Linked DNA regions of Coturnix japonica. The protein of the gene in region 1 interacts with the protein of each later gene in a biochemical or structural test. Links are inferred from orthologs where the notes say so. Each region holds a gene or a part of one and is shown in the gene's direction. Other genes may lie near its edges.

What was found. The genes of interacting proteins can lie anywhere in the genome.
Region 2: of the proteins of AKT1 (region 1) and EZH2, one has a biochemical effect on the other in vitro, tested with the Homo sapiens proteins (2 studies listed by BioGRID). The link is inferred for Coturnix japonica from reciprocal best matches to the Homo sapiens genes AKT1 and EZH2.
Region 3: of the proteins of AKT1 (region 1) and FOXO3, one has a biochemical effect on the other in vitro, tested with the Homo sapiens proteins (2 studies listed by BioGRID and IntAct). The link is inferred for Coturnix japonica from reciprocal best matches to the Homo sapiens genes AKT1 and FOXO3.
Region 4: of the proteins of AKT1 (region 1) and MAPT, one has a biochemical effect on the other in vitro, tested with the Homo sapiens proteins (3 studies listed by BioGRID and IntAct). The link is inferred for Coturnix japonica from reciprocal best matches to the Homo sapiens genes AKT1 and MAPT.

The regions. Positions count from the first base shown.
Region 1 is NC_029520.1:46,930,088-46,933,678, reverse strand, and holds part of AKT1 (RAC-alpha serine/threonine-protein kinase), read left to right. Parts: intron 1-902; coding exon 903-1,117; intron 1,118-3,591. UniProt on the Homo sapiens protein: AKT1 is one of 3 closely related serine/threonine-protein kinases (AKT1, AKT2 and AKT3) called the AKT kinase, and which regulate many processes including metabolism, proliferation, cell survival, growth and angiogenesis.
Region 2 is NC_029517.1:75,450,813-75,455,179, reverse strand, and holds the start of EZH2 (histone-lysine N-methyltransferase EZH2), read left to right. Parts: upstream 1-1,554; 5' UTR 1,555-1,604; coding exon 1,605-1,663; intron 1,664-2,139; exon of another isoform or gene 2,140-2,351; intron 2,352-4,367. UniProt on the Homo sapiens protein: Polycomb group (PcG) protein. Catalytic subunit of the PRC2/EED-EZH2 complex, which methylates 'Lys-9' (H3K9me) and 'Lys-27' (H3K27me) of histone H3, leading to transcriptional repression of the affected target gene.
Region 3 is NC_029518.1:61,257,974-61,262,070, reverse strand, and holds the start of FOXO3 (forkhead box protein O3), read left to right. Parts: upstream 1-1,284; 5' UTR 1,285-1,554; coding exon 1,555-2,139; intron 2,140-4,097. UniProt on the Homo sapiens protein: Transcriptional activator that recognizes and binds to the DNA sequence 5'-[AG]TAAA[TC]A-3' and regulates different processes, such as apoptosis and autophagy.
Region 4 is NC_029542.1:2,390,817-2,395,134, reverse strand, and holds the start of MAPT (microtubule-associated protein tau), read left to right. Parts: upstream 1-1,505; 5' UTR 1,506-1,590; intron 1,591-4,307; 5' UTR 4,308-4,318. UniProt on the Homo sapiens protein: Promotes microtubule assembly and stability, and might be involved in the establishment and maintenance of neuronal polarity.

The DNA.
Region 1 (3,591 bases):
GTAGAAATGCCCAGGGGAGGGGAAAAAATGAATGTGCTGAACCTCTTCTGCTGTGAGAACTGGAAGAAGCTTACCCCTGATGTGAGGGCCTTCAGTATTGCAGCCAGTGTGCAAGTCCCACAGGAGGGAGGAAGGGAAGTATTTCATATTGGCTGCCATTTTACAGCCTTGCAGTGGGTCAGGTGTTAGGAGGGGAGTTCTGGCTCATAGGGCTGAATGTGGGTTAGTCATTTGGTGTGTGTGTGTGGGTGGTCTTTTGTGATGTGCAGAGTAGCCCTTTGAGTAGGAGCAGGTTAATACAGGGATGATTGTGATGTTCAGTTTGTTGCCTGTGAAGTAACAGACCGATGGGCTTTTCACCTCTTCCCAAAGTGGCTCCTTGATGATGTGTGTGTGTGTGTATATACATACTGTTCTAAATGGGATCTCATTTAAAAAAAAAAACAAAAACACACACACACACACACACACACACACACATATATATATATATATGTATATATATGTTTTAATGAGATCCCACTTGGAACAGTTTGTGATGAATAAGTGAAAATTCAGCAGCTGGCTCTGTAATGTGAGAACAGTCCTCAGCCTTTGGGCTTTCAAAGGTTCTGCTTACTTACCATGGATGTAATGAGAGGGGGGAGGGTGGAAGAAGGAAGAGAAGAGGAAAGTTGACATAACGTGCACACTTTCTTCTCTTCCCCATCTTGCTCATCTACAGTGCTCTCCTTTGTCTCCTTTGACCTTTGTTTTCAAGGAGGATCTTCTGAAAACACTCTGTGCTAATAGATTCAGCTGTGTAATGCGAGAACATGAAATTTGCTGGTGTTAATTTTGCCTCTTGAGTTCATTCCCAATGTAGGAATGCCTTCTAAAGCCTTCTCCTTACCCCTGTACAGGTGCTGGAAGATAATGACTATGGTCGTGCAGTGGACTGGTGGGGATTAGGAGTTGTAATGTATGAAATGATGTGTGGCCGGCTCCCTTTCTACAATCAGGACCATGAAAAGCTCTTTGAACTCATCCTTATGGAAGAGATTAGATTTCCACGCACTTTGTCACCTGAAGCAAAATCTCTCTTGTCAGGCTTGCTGAAGAAAGATCCTAAGCAGAGGTGAGACTGTTTCTTAATATTTGTGTTTTTAAACACTTGTGCACTCAGAAGTAGCATAATAAGTCAAGGAAAAATGTATTTTAAGGCCTTCACAAGAAAAGTTAATAACTTTGCTACATAGAGGTATGTCTGTGAAAGGGAGCTGTTTTTTTAGGCAAGTGACTTTAAGTGGCTCTTCCTGTGCTGCCATTTAAATGATCCATATCTCCACCATTGAGAAGCAATTGAAGAGGATTCTGCCCAAGGGGATACTGAATGCACTCATGCCAGTATTTCTGTATTTCAAAATGAGGAAGGCATTTTGGATGAAATTCTGGATTTGTTTTTAACTGGCACAAAATTATCATCCACCAAGTAGAGCTGAGGGATGTAGCGCACAGACCTATTTGGTTTCAGCTTAACTTTTGACTCAAGCTGGCTTGCAGGTGGCAACGTGAAGCAGTTTTGTTGATCAGAAGCTTGACCTTCAGAATATGGTGGCTGCCAACTATGGCCTGGGACAAAGCAAGTTAACCTTGCTTTTGGTCATAATTAATCTGATCGTTGCTGTGAGTTATCAGCTGCTCTGCAGTAATTCTTTTACCATCTATCCAAGTTTGGGCTGCTTACAGTAAGCTTTCTGAATTTTCTGTTCAGTCAGTGCCAGTGATCTGTCATCCTGCTTTGGACAGCAGGTGGTGGTGTTAGTACCATGTTTATGGTGGAATTCATACTGTGCTTTAATCTACTTTTCCCATTTCCTCCTTTTGTTTTGAAAAAGTAACCTCTGTCTTAATACCAAACAAAAACAACGTCAGCAAAAAAAAGAAAACCTCAAATCCTTAATGGCTAACAAACAAAATGTAACAAAAAATAGAACAGGATCCAAAAAGGATGTTGACCTTTGCACTAAGGGTAAACATCAGTCTGAAAACCTGCTATCTTGTCAGCCCAGACACTTTTTAAACAAACGAAGATAGTGACTCTGAACCTTCCCACCATAAAAGAACTCAAGCTAGGAAACCTTTCACATGAGGTGTAGGTAACAAGTATCCCAGTTTTTGTGATGTTTGTTTAGTTGGTGCGTACACACACACTTAACGTGAAAATGGTTTTTGCCAGTATTGGATTTCTTGGAGCAGGGATTTTTGTCACAGGAGTGGACTGCTTCCATCACTGCTTTCAATTGTGTGATGGATTAGCAACCCCCTGGGTACTCCACACAGCAAATGTGGCTGCAGCCCCTGCCAACGGGATTCCTGTCTAGAAAAGCCCTGGGTTAAATACAGTTGTGACCCTCTTGTAGCTTATTCAGGTGGTGCCTTTCAATCTCTGGAAACACAAGTAGCATCTGCTGTAATTTGTTCTTAAAGGAGCATCTCTGATGAACCAAAATACAGTTTGTTTACAAACAAAGAACGCCCACTTGTTTCTGATTGCAAGGTTTCTCCAATGCCAATAATTACTCCACAGCATGCTCATTTTATACAAATAGCCACTTCTTCACATGTATCTTCAGCAGGCTTGGAACCACTGATGCTCTGATGTGTTGGACAGATGATTTTCCTGCTGCTGATAGAAATAACTATAGAGTAGAGAAGCCTGCACCTTGCTAATTACACCGTGCCTCCCCAAGCTTTTTGGATCGTGGACCATTCTTAAATACTGGTTTCTCCCCAATCACTGTACATTCAGCTTTTGAATTGCAGTTGGGATTCTGCAATGCAGTGCACTGGGTGGCGTTTCAGGCAGCAGGGAGAGGTGAGCTGGGGGCACTGGGAGGTGGCAGTCCTGAGTCCTGCCCTGCCCTTGTTATGGGTTTTACTGTCAGCTGTTCACACGGTGTGGTCTGTGTTGGGGTGGGCGCCTGACAGATGTGGTGATTGACTCATTATGAGGTCATTCAGCCACGTTAAAGGAAAACACCCAGATAGCCTCAAAGTACAGTCAGTTGAAATTACGTCATGCCCAGCAGTCCATTCCACATTAGCCTATCAATGATGTTTGGGGGAATTCGTGTAATTCAACAGAAATCCCCTCCTTAGCAAAGCCCAGTGGTTGGCAAAGTTGGCTTCATTGTAGGGTCTGTGGCAGAAAGCATCATCACTTGCATTTAGTTACTGCTAGTGGGCTTGAGAGTGGGACAGAGATGAGCAAAAGGAAAATGAAACAGGGACGTATTCTCCTTTCCAGTAAAATCCCTCTCACCTCAACCCCCAAAAAAGTTGAAATAATGAAACTCACTGTAAGTTGGTAATGAATTGTGACCGGAGTTGGTGAATTAAATCTTACAAATTACCTGTTGTACGTGAGCTGGAAATAGAGGAGCAGTGTTAGCGTTCTGCTTTTGGTAATAGCAACTCCCAGGCATATGGGGAAAATATGAAGAACAGTAAATTGCATTCTGCTTTTAATAATAGCTGTTTTCTAAATTTGGTCATATAAAATCCATTTTGTAAGAGAAAAGGAATTTTGAAGTTTCTTTTGGGATTGAT
Region 2 (4,367 bases), on another chromosome or scaffold:
TCACAGATCTGGTCCAAATGCCTCTTCATAATGCAGATTGGTGTTCAGGCATTCTTTAATCATGAAAATGCAGCAGAACAGAAAAATGTTTGGGTGGTTTACTCCATGAAAACAGAAAGTCTATAAGCAGCTCATTACAACATTAAGCATCCACGTGCAGAAAAAAAGAAACAAGCTGCCAGAATTCTCCAGGTTATTTTAAATAGCCCATATGATCAGAAAATTGACACTTCGTGGAGATCCTCACTGAGGATTCATCACTTCTAGAACTGAAATGCAGCATGGAAAGATTGTTTTCACAGAGTGCAAAACAGAAAGAGTAGTTCCATTCAAAATGTGTTTTATTTTCTAGTAAGCATTAGCTTCACGTACAGCAGGTGAATAACTTTCTGTGCAAGACAAAAACTGAAGCGTGTACTGCAATTGAGTTCAGTGTTGTCTCCACACATCTTTTTTTCACCTTGTGACTGACTATAGTGCTTGCTTAAAGTTACGCTATGCTTATTTAGCACAGGAGTTGTATATATATATATATATATATATATAGACTAAGATAAGATCTCATGAAGTGCAATTCTAACAATAAAAAAACTACAAGTTCCAAGCTGTGAAGAGACTGGGTAGCCATTTTGGTGGTGCCAGCCATCTTGGAGCAGAATAGATTTAAATAGCTGAATTTCAAGAAATGACTGACATTTTGCAAAGTTGATAGTTTTAACGTAATCTTGGAAAAGGTCATCTACTCTAGTAGAATCAAAGAAAGAGTATGACAATATATCGTTTCGTGACATGCAAACATAAGAGGAAATAATTTCTGTTCCACATTAAAAGAACTCTGATCCTTGTTTGGCCTATAATGCAGCTGAAAGATTTGGGCATGAAGCTGTGTCAATGATCTTCTCTCATAGGATTTTTATCATTCAGAACCTCATTATGGTGGACAGTGCTAATTTTTGGGCTTCACACAAAGATGAGACAAGGTAGTTGAATGTATCAGAAGTGATTTGCAAGGGAAGGTGAGAAACACTGGTAACAGACAGTAAGGGTACAAGGCTCACAATCCATTCTACCTCAGAAGTAGTGCTGAACACAGGAGGCTTAGGAAGGAGAGATGGTGACAAGCATACATGGAAGTTTCCCACCATGATCTTATCTTGGCAATTTTGTTTTTCCAGTCAACAAAGAAGGGCTGCAGTGGCCAAACAGTGAGACAAAAGAAGGCTAAGGGGGAATGAATCCTTGAGGTTTAAAGTACCTCCTTGTCAACGTGACTGAGTCGTAGAATAAAAACGAGGGAAAATGGTAGCAACCTTAGGCTAGAGACAGTGTATCACTAGCAACAGGATCCCAGCCTTATGCAGAATGGACACCTTGCTGTTGCTGTGATTTACCATCACTGCCAAGATGGGACACAATGGGATTTTGACAGTTAAGAATCCATGCTGGTTACAGAACAGCAAGGCACCAAAATTCGTGAGCAACAGCGTGAAACAAAAGGACAGATACGTGCTAGGTTTGGGTGCGCAAAGGTCAGATGACACGGCAGGAGGATGCATCACGTACTCTGGTTAGTGACTCAGCCAGCCAACGCTCGGCACGGCGCAATGCCGGGAAGGAGAGAGCCCGCCGCGGAAGCGACGGGCAGGGAGCGGGCCGTGCTGAGGTAAGCAGCTCCTGCCAACAACACCCCCAGTCCCCGCCTGGATCTTCCCGCCTGGTCGCAGACGCGCCTCTCCCAGTTCTCCGTCCTGTCCCGTCCCGTCCCGTCCCGTCCCCTCCCCTCTCTGCAGCGCGCGGAAGCAGCAGCACGACTGTTAAAACCGTTACAGCTCCCACTTTCGAACTGATTCAAACTCAGCAGCACTGAGACGCGAGGCCCCTCCCCGCTCCCGTCGGACCCCTCGCCTCCCTCCCCTCCCCAGTCCCCGTGAGGCGGCGGCCGGAGCACCTCAAACTCCAGACCCGCTGCCCGCTCAGCTACACGGACGGGCAAAGAGGGCACAAAACCGCCAGCCCGGGCGGCAGCGCGAGAACAAAGAGCTCCCCCACCCCTCCTTCCCGCCAGCACGTGGGGCACGGACCCCGCCCCTCTCCCCGCCCCTCTCCGCCCCTGATTGGCTCGGGGCGCTCCGTCCGCGTCCGTCCAATCGGGGCGGCGCTCGGCTCTCGCCAATGAACGTGTTACCGATTGGGCCACTGTATTTGGCGCTCGGTCCGGGAGGGTGAATCCGGCAGCCGGAGGCAGGAGGGAAGAAGAGTCGGGGAGCGAAGCGGCTGTGGTGGCGGTGGCACGAGATTGGAGCGAGGGGACGGGTGAGCTGGACGGCAGCGGCAGCAGCACCACAACCACCGTACGGGCTGCGGGCCGGGAGCAGTTATTTATAACCGACTCCCTTTGTTATGGGGGGTGGGGAGGCAGACAGGGAGGGCGCGACCGCCTCGGTCCCGAGCAGCGCGCCGCGTCGCGCTTGAAGGAACGGGATGGGGTGGGGGGCGGCAGCGAGATTCGCGCCCGCTCTGCAGCCGTTGACAGCGGAGGGAGCGGCGCGGAGCCGACGGTGCCTTTTGTCTGAGTTGGCTCTGTCCATCCTGGCCGCGCCGCGCTCGGCGGAGCGGAGCCTTGGGCGGGGGGGGCGACTGGCGCCGTGCGGGAGAAAGAGCGGGTAGGAGCCGGCTGTTTCCTCTCCTCCCCGTTCCTGCCGGCCTCCTGTGGTGGCGGCTGCCTCTGGCACGGTTTCGCTGAGGGGTCGGCGGGGGGATCCGTGTGTTAAACGTACGCAAGGTGAGGTCTCGGTGAGTCCGAAACGCGAAGACAAGTCCGTTCTGTCCGCCTCAGCCCCCTCCGAGAGAGAAGCACGGTGCAGAAGTTGTTACGCGGCGGTAGCCCCCGCCCTGGGGTGCGAGTAGGTCCGCGGCAGCCCCATGTGCCCGCGGTGTCCCGGAAGCGGAGCGTTCCCACTCTCGCCCTCGCACGTTGCCGTCCCGCCGGCCAGTCTGCGACGGGGCTCTCCAGCCCCCGGCGAGTTTCACGGGCACCGAGTGCGGGAGAGCGGGGACGGCGCGGGAGTCAATCTGTCCGGCCAACTTCCTCGTCGGGAAGGGCGCTGCTCGGCTAACCGGCCCTCCAGAGTTCGGAGGGAGCTGGAACTGCTGAGTTGGAGACCTAATGTCGCAAAGCGCGGGTGTGTGGGGCGATCTCTGAAATCGGCATGTTTGGGGAGGTGTGAAAGGGACGGAGTTGTGCTGGAGCAACAGGCGTGTGTGTGATCAGACAAAGGTGATGAAATCAATGTATTGTAGCGCAACGCATGTGTATCTGGTGTTAAGTACGAACATCCAAAAATTATTAGGAATGGGCAGAAAGAAAAGCAGTCTCAGCATAATGTAGCAAAAATGGTATAATGAACCTGTACCTGGCTCAAGATACTTTTTCAAAGTTATGAAACAGTATATTTCATTGGAACTAGGGCCTTGGTTTTTTTCTCTGTTTGGTTTTTTGGTTTTGTTTTTGTTTGGTCTGTTTATTTGTTGCAGGATAGGTTTGTCTTTGTGCAAGTCGAGCAATTGCAGATCCAACCGTTCAGTACTTCAGCGAGACTTTACTGGTATTTTTAGTACACGATAAACTTCTAAACGGAGATTTCCTCATATACAAGTCCTTTCTCTCTTTTTCTCTTTTTCCTCTTTCCCCCTACCCCACCCCCCTTTTTTTCCATTATTTTTTAATTTATTATTATTATTTTTAGGGCTTGGCACATTCCGGTTCTTTGTGACTTGTAAAAATTAAAAGGTCATTCTTTGTTTGTCCCCAGTGTCTGTATCAAATTGAGAGTTCAGGGAATGTTTAATTGTGATAACAATAACGCATCTTCAGAAGGGTGAGTATTACTTGTCCACAGTGTATGGTAGCTATCCTTGCTTTATATTAGATCATAATAATATAGATAAGGCTTACAGTGTCTTTCAGAAAACACGGTTCTAGTACTTTAGGAGGTATTATTCAAAAGTTTTATGCAATAAAATACTTTTTTAGACATTCTAAAATATTACTCTGAAAGTGACATACACTGAAAATACTTATTGGCAGAAGAACATTAAAAGTCTTTGCTCAGTTTAAAATCAGATAAAGCAATAGTCTATAAGCTTAGGCTGGAGACTAGAAATTCAAAATTTTTTGCTTTCCACATGGTATTTTCTTCTACCTAGAATTTTCAATGAGTTGAAATATCGTGGGTGACTTTGTTGGAAATATGCCTTCTAATGGGTTTATATTTGTTCTATGATATGGCATTTGTAGGTGAGATGTAAATGTACTTCAGCTTATCTACAAGGAAACTTTGGCTTAGCAAGTAGGGAATTCTTGTAGT
Region 3 (4,097 bases), on another chromosome or scaffold:
AACATCCTCAAGCTTCTGAGGCCCTTCCGTCAGGGGTGGAGAACACAGTGGGGTGATGGCCTTCACGTGGGCATCGGCTGAGTGTTCTCCACCCTGCTGCCTGAACACGGCACCAAAAACAGGACCAAAACTGGACTCCGGAGGTAACACAAGAATAACTTGTACGCACAATTCACAGCCCAGTTAGGAGGCGCGCTATTGCTCCACTGCGACAAGCAGAGCTACCTGCAGGTGGGATTAGGCAGCAGATCGGGCGAACGTGACACAAACTCAGCGTATGGAGTAGTGAAATCACCCATGTTGCTTAAATCCAAGAGGATACACGGGCGGACATGCAACGACACTGTACCACCGTCCCCGCTCCCCCCGGCGGAGGGGCGCAGGGGCCCGGCCGCGCTCCGCTCCCGTCTCCCCGCCCTGTGTGGGAGGCCCCGCTGGGCCCCGCCCGTGGGCGGGCGCTGCGTTGCGTTGGGTTAGGTTGCGGCTGTGTGCGCGCGGCTATAACTTTGTGTTGTGGCGAGGAGGAGGAGGGACGTGCCAACTGGCGGCCGGCAGGGCCACGGGCAGCTGGGGCGGGCTGCGGCAGCCGGGCCGCTCGCCTCGCCGCCTCCCCCCGCGTCGCCTTTAAAGGGAAGGCTCCGCCGAGCCCCGGGCGCAGAGCGGGCGGAGCGGAGCCGCGCAGCGGCAGGAGCGGCTGTATCGCCAACACCAGCACCGCCGCTGCCGGGCGCTGGGCTTCGCCTTTCCGCTGGCCTGGGGGCGGTCGTCGGCTCTGTCCCCACCGCTCCCCGGCCGCGGTTTTTCGGTGACTGGAGCGGAGGGAACTGTCAAGATGGCAGCGGCAGGAGCACGGAGGTTATGAGCGCCGAGGTTACGAGCGCGGCGGTGCTGCTGGAACAAAACCCATTCGCTTCGGCAGCCCGAGGGAGGGCTTAAAGCTCCCGGACCTGTTGGAGGAGCGCCGATCCGTCCCTCTCGTGCTCGCTTTTTCCCCCGTGAGAGAAAGGATTTCTATCGTTATTATTACGTTGTGGGTTTTTTGTGGTGTTGTTATTTTTTTTTTCCTTTCTTCTGGCGAGGAGGTGCCGCTGTGTTTGGGGGCAAGGCGAAGTGACGGCGATCAGCGCGCAGGGATCCACGCTCCCCTCGGGGCGTCCCGAAGAAGGACGGACTCCTCGGTGCCTCCCCGGGACGAGCGCAGGACCCCCCGAGGAAGGGAAGGTGCTCGCCGGCCCCCACGGCCAGGTACGGCGCGGACGCAGCCGGAGAGCCCGCATGGAGTGAAGAAACATAAACAAACGCACACTCGCGGCGCCGAGCGCACCCCGGCACCGCGCTCCGGCGCTCCGCCCGATTGAATCGCGTTTTTCGCTCTCCGTTCGTTGTTTTCGCCGGCTTCGCCCGTTCGCTCCGTGCCCGCGGGGAGCGGCATGCCCGCCCGCTAGGCTCCCGGCGGCACCGAGCAGGCGGCGGCGGAGGAGGAGCGGGGCCGGCGGCCGCCCGCCCCGTCGCAGCGCCCCGCCGCCGCCGCAGCCGCCCCCGAGGGAGGCCGAGATGGCAGAGGCGTCGCCCCCCGGGCCGCTCTCGCCCCTGGACGTGGAGCTGGACCCCGAGTTCGAGCCGCAGAGCCGCCCCCGCTCCTGCACCTGGCCGCTGCAGAGGCCCGAACTGCAGGCCAGCCCCGCCAAGCCCGCCGGCGAGCCGGCCGCCGACGCCGCCTCCATGATCCCCGAGGAGGAGGACGACGACGAGGAGGGGGGCGGCGCGGCCATGGCCGTCGGCGGCGCGGCCCCCGTGGGAGGCGAAGCGGCGGCCGCCGGCGGCCCCGAGGAGGCGGCGCGGCCGCCGGTCCCCGTGCCCGGAGGCGGCCCGGAGGGGCCCGGGCCGGCGCCGGGAGGAGCGGCCACGGCGGCGGGCGGCGGGGGGCTGAGCGGCGGCGGCCCCGCGGCGGCGGCGCCGAGGAAGTGCTCGTCGCGGCGCAACGCGTGGGGCAACCTCTCGTACGCCGACCTCATCACCCACGCCATCGAGAGCTCCCCCGAGAAGCGGCTCACCCTGTCGCAGATCTACGACTGGATGGTGCGGTGCGTGCCCTACTTCAAGGATAAGGGCGACAGCAACAGCTCGGCCGGATGGAAGGTGAGGGGACGGGCTGCCGGCTGACCGCAGCGTAGGGGACGAGGATGGGAAGGGATGGGACTTTCGCCGCTCGGCCGCCGGCTGGTGCAGGGGGACGAGCAGGGAAGGCAGGAGACGGTGTTCTTAAAGGCTTTTTATTTTGTACAAGTTGTAGGGACCTTGTAACTCGCAACAGAAATAAGCGGAGTTGCTCTCGTGCGGTGCCAGCCCAAAGCTCACATGTAGATTGACTTGCGTTTTCCTCCAGCAACTGCCAGCTCTGCCGTTCCTAAAGGTGGTGGAGAGAAGCCCAAAGCTCCGTTTTCATATGGAGATGACAGGGTTTGCGAGAGTGATGGCTTGGTGCTGCCAGCCTGTGTGCCCCTCACTTACCCCATCCATCTATCGTGCCCGTTGGGGTGATAGCAGCTTACAGCACGGCAGGCTGCGCTGAGGTCGCTACTGTGTTGCTGACGGACCCAGCCTGGCAGAGAGAGGCCCTGCACCCATACAACCCGGCAATGCTTACCCAGTGTAAATGGGGTGTGAGGTGGGCACTGCCTGACCCACTTGCTTTGGGCTTGTTCCCATGGCCGGCTGTCGGCCCTTTGGAGCTGACATGCGGCCATACAGATCTGTGGGTGCTGCTGCAGAACGTTACTGGGGTGTGTGGGGCATCGCAGCTGCTGCTAAGGGATGGGGCTGTTGAGGGCATGTGTGCAGGAAGTTTCCTTGTGCTACAGGGAGGTTTGGTTTCTACTTCGATTCTCCCTGCCTTGCATCAGGGTTAACCTGTGCGTGAACCAGTCAGGAATACTGCGGGTTGAAGCAGCTCTGGCTGCATTGTTGGCAGCTCTGCCTCACCCCGTAGTTCTGGAGTAGGACTGACGTGCTGCTAGGTTCCAAGTGGAGTGCTGTGGGGGAAGCGTTGGGATGCCATACCTCAGGCTCAGGAAAACAGGAGCACAAAGTTTATTGGGGCATAGCTAATGTGGGGCAGGGCTCTGAAACCCACGTACTCTGCAGTGTTGGAGCTGAGCTGCACCGGCTGTTGTGTGAGGGTGATCATGGAGTATGGCAAAGGGTTAAATTCTCATGGTGCCAGCCTCGGCTCAGTAGGTACTGCACACTGAGCCGAGGCTCTCGCTGCCAGCTGCTGTGGCAAACGCTGCTCCTTTATCAGCTGTGTTGAATTTTCAGTGAACTCCCTATCACTGTTCCAAAGGGCAGGCAGCAGGGCTGTGCTGCTTGAGCTGAATGTGGTGGCAGAGCTCCCCATTGCCTCAGCAGCAGGACCCGGCCCATAGCACCAAGTGCTCGCATTGATCAGCGTGCTTAATACAGTCACTATTTTTTCTGACAACTTAGCCTGTTAATTTGATATTGATTCCTTTCCTGAGCAGCATTAGCTGGTACTTGGAGCTAATTACAGTGTTAAAAACTTGGATCCCTTGGGATTTCTTTCATACGGTTTAGCTCAGAAGCCCCTCTGCAGCCTTTAGGGTGACCTTTATCGGCACAGAAGCATGTTGGGCCGTGCTCAGGCAGTGAGATGCAGGGTTAAGGGAGGCCAGGAGCTGACCACGGGCTGCCGAGCAGAGCAGGGGCCACTTCAGTCCCTGTGTATGTATTAGGAAGAGGGATATTTCAGCTACTTTGAAAGTAAGTGAGTTTGTACAGAGGCACTACTCTTAAACAGGGACTCCATCTTAGCCTCCCGGTGCTCACGCACATTATATGTTATCATCTCTGTTTCCTTCTCAGGTAGTGAACACAACTCTTCAGGAGGTAAGGTCAGCATCTCACACCGGGCTTTTTTTCAGGTTTTAACCTAAGATTTTAAGTGAACAGAAAAATAACTCTGTATCAGACGGACTTCATCTTAATTTCACATAACCAGGTTTATTTTAGAAGGCTGCAGGCACACTTAACAATATTCTTCTCCAGCCTTGAGGGGGGAAAAGTGTCGTTTTAAATAA
Region 4 (4,318 bases), on another chromosome or scaffold:
TGCTCTGCAGCTCCAGCAGCTCACTGTGCTGTGCTCCTCCTGGGTGTGCACAGGGACATCGGTGCTGCAGGGCATTGCATTCTGCTCGGTCAGCTGGATCAGAGGGAAGAAGAAAGGTAGGAAGGGATGGAAGATGAGGGAAGGGTGGCAGCAATAGCAGCGGGTTGGCCCTCAGGTGTGTGGTTTTGGGGTGAGGCAATAATGCAAGGTGTAGGCTTCATATTCCTGCAATGCAATGTGGCTCCCAGCAGGTTCCAGTTTGCAGGGCTGTGCTGTTGGGGCACAGAACCATTGCTGCTCCCCATGGACCGGCTGCTCTCACTGCTCAGGGTGGGCTCGGATAATCTGCCCTCCTAATTGCCACCCAGTGAGGAGGCAGCTGCTGAGCCAGCCCTTAAGCTGATTTGGGATGGCAAATTCTGTTAGTTTAATTCTCAGCAATGCTGAGGAACGTGCCAGCACGTGAGCATCACTTGGCTTGTCTCTGGCAACCTGAGCCAGCTGGTGAGGGCATGCAGTGCTCAGAGCTGGGACAGGTTGGGTTTGTAAGGGGGTATTTAACTGACCATTCCTTGAGCTCCTGTGTTTGCAGCCCCAACTTTGCTATTCCTTTTTAATGCTCCTTTCCAGAGCTGTGGAGCATTCACTGCCTGGTCTTGGTAACCCAGGCCTTAATAACACACAGGTTAAAGGTGAGCAATGATGAAGAATGCATTTCTGAAAGGATTCCTTTTGCAGTTCCTTCTGTGTTTGCCTTTGAACATAAAGGAAGTTTCCTGCCCCCCTGCCTTGCTGTGATTTCTCATCTCGCTCCATATTAAGCTTTGCTTGCAGTTGATGAGATCACTGCCCGTATTCCTTCGCCTGTCAAGCTCCTTGGAAGAGCTAAGTGCACAAAGGAGATGAAAAAGAAGCTGCTTATGAATTATGAAGAGCCTTTCAAGCTGCTGTTATTTCACGGGGCCGTCGCTCCGTTTTAATTGAGTAATTCAAATGGGGGCAAAAAACAACCAACCCCATCCCAACCTGTTTGTGTTTGATCACCTGTCGGAGGGAACACGAGGCTGGCTCATGTTTGTTGAGCTTTCAAGTAACACAAGCCACCCTTGCAGGTGGAATAATGGGGAAGGAAGGAGCTGAGCAGGAGCTGGGATGCAGCTGCTCCCCTTGTGCTTGCTTGGGGTGTGCAGCAGAGCGTGCAAACACAGCCTGCATCTCTCCAAGCACTGCAGAAATGCATGGCCCATAATGGCCACCAGCAGGTCTGTCAATCCATGGTTTATATGGGGAATTTTAGCCCATGTGAATGGAAGCATCAGTTCCCAGCTCTGTGATCCCAGGGGCTGTGGGGAACAGCCCTGAATCCATGCAGAGCTGGCAGGGTGAGCTGATGCTGGGGCTGCTGGGGGTGGGGGGATGCACACAGCATGCAGGACAGCTCAGCCCCTGGCACCAGAAGCCTTTTGGTTTTGCTCCTTTGTGATGTCATCTGTCACACAGGACAGAAGGCTGAGTGCCACCCAAGCACAGCTGTGTGGTCCCCAGCATCTGCTTTCCTCCTCTCAGCCAACCCAGGCTGCTATCAATAGGGTACGTTGTTTTCAGCCCTGGTTTTTATTCACCTGTCATTGCGGGGAAACGTCACATCAAGGCAGGAAGAGTTTGAGCTGCCAGGCTTCATTTGGGACATCAGCATTCCCAGCTGGAGGGCACAGTGTGTGGCCATAGCAGCAGGATGAGAGCTGTGCAGTGCCATTGTGATGGATGGTGATACATCCTGATGCTGCTGGTGGCCCTGCAGGGACTTTGGCATCAGATCCTGCTGGCTTTGACTCTGGGTTTGACTCTTAGGGGGCACCTTTAGGCTGAGGGACCTGACTGGGTTGTGTGTATGGAGTTAATGGTGCTGGTGGGCTGAGCTCGGATATCTGTGCCCCCATGGGAAGCCTGGGGCTGTTAATGGGGCTTGAGGGGCTGTTAACACCACAGTGGGCTGTTGCTGCTTAGATAGGGCCCCTGTTTGGTGGGGATAGTCCTGCTGGAAGGGGATAAGGCTCTTGGTAGGGCTGTGTGCTTTATCTCCTGCATGGTGCCCTGCTGACGTTGAGCTCTGCAGCTCTCCTTGTTGAGTTACTCATTCCCAACCCATTGCTTTGAGGCTGTTCTTACGGCCTTTTGGAACATCTTTTCCCTTTCACGGGAGGGATTTCCTCCTCCTCCACTTGAGAAGCAGAAGGTTTGTCATCTCAGATGTTGTTTGTAACTCATAGACGTGCAGTTTTCAACCCCCCTTAGAATAAGAAGCGCTTTGTGGATGAGCCCTTTGGTTTTGCTTCCTGGTTGCAGCAGGACGGATCCGAGCCACAACTATGTGCATCCCCCTCATGTTCTGATCCTGCTTTTAGCTGATGTGGGGGAGAATGGACTCCAGCATCCATCAGAGAGGCATAAAACGCCTTTATAGTGTTGAATATGACTGCGTGATGATACAGCCTGTGTATTTCCAACCCAGCTGGGAGAGCTTTGCAGCTAAGAGATAATGGTGCTGCTGGCTCACTTGGCCTCACCCTCTGGACTGCTTGGTGTCGTTTGTTTACCTCTCTGTTGTGCTGAAGCTTTATCAGCCCTGTTGTAATGCTTTTGCATCCCAGCCCTTGCAGGGAGAGCCTGCTTCCATCCTGCTGCCCTGCAGGCACAGCACGAAGCCATCCAGCCCCATTGGGAGATGCTGCTGCTCCCCAAAGTCCCTCTGTCCAAACAGTTGTGTGTCCTGCAGCTCTCAGGGGGCATCTGGGTGATTTAATCCTCGGCTCTTTGTGGCTTTAGGTGATGCTTTTTTCCTTGTAACCTAACGGGCAGCTCTTATCTCTGCAAAATTAATTAGGAGCCCATCCCCGCTCCTTCAGCTCCAGCCATGCATGGAGCTCAATGGGAGCAGGGCTGTCTGTGCCCAGCTGTGAGCAGAACAGCATTAAAGGATTTTTTTGCAGCTCATAGAGAGACAGTGAGACCGACGGGTTCCCTAAGAAGCAGCCAAACGTTTCCTGGTGTCAGAAAGCAGCAGTGAGAGCCAGCACTGCAGGCAGGCGGCTCCATGGCCTTTGCTGAATCACTGCTGGCTGCTGCCGTGCCAGGGCTGCACAGATGCTGAAATGCTGAGCTCGGAGGAGAAGTGGGACGTCTTGAGCTGAGCTGAGCTGAACCCTGTCCACAGAACGGGCAGATGAGCCCCAGGCTGGGAATGTGAGCTGGATGTGGAGCCAGGAGTCAGTGCTGGATGGTGGCCCAGGAAATTCTTGTCCAGAGGCAGGAAAGCACTAAATGTGACTTTCAAAGAGAGGTGCTGAGAGCTCCATTCCAAACACTGGGGCGGGGGGGGGGCAGGAGAGGAGGACGTGAGCATCATTGGAACCCAGCAGTGGGATGAGTGGATGGTCTGCATCTGGGTCAGCACACACAAAGGTGTGTGGGTGCTCAGTGAGCTGGGCTGGGAGGGCTGTCCTTGTCCAAGCTTTGTGGCTGTCAAAGGCAGCAGTGAAGTTGTACATTCATCTTCCTAAGGCTTAAAGAAGCTGGGCAGGAGCTCTGCTTACTGCCATTGGAGCTTCTCTTGCTCGGTTCCATATATCCTGTTTATTTCTTGCCAGCAAACAAAACCACGTGTGTTTGCTTCCTTGCTTGCAGTGACCCGAGCCTCACTGCTGCATCCATTTGCTCCTGACGGTCATGGCAAGCACACGATTACACTAATAGCCTGTTATTAATCACTGCCAGTGGCTGTAATTACATCAGCTATTAGGAAGTCAACTAAAATCCATGTCTGTCCAATCAGAAGGACAGGCATGGTGCCTGCAGCTTGTGTTTGTTGTTGGGTTCTCTTCCTTTAAGCACTTTTAAAAGCCCCCTGAGGTCCTGGTTTGGTGTGTTAGCACTTTGCACTGCTCAATGAGTGCGGGTGGAATGTGCTCCTGGTGAATGTGGGGGCACAGGATGCTCTGGGGAGTGTTTGAGCACAGCTATGTGAAACCCAATGGGCATCTGTGTATCCTGAGCATCCCTGCACACTGTGATGTGAAACCCAATGGGCATCTGTGTATCCTGAGCATCCCTGCACACTGTGATGTGATTTGGGGTCTCATCAAGGAAAGGAGATAAAGCAGCTCCCTTCTTGCTGTGGCTGAGGAGGCAGCGTGCATTTGTTGGCTCATTGCTGGCCAGAGGATGCTCCTGGGATGGAGCTGAGGTGGTTTGGAGCACACCAACAAGGCTCCAGGCTTTGCAATCATTGCTTTTGTTTCCTTCTTCAGGTAACTTGGCT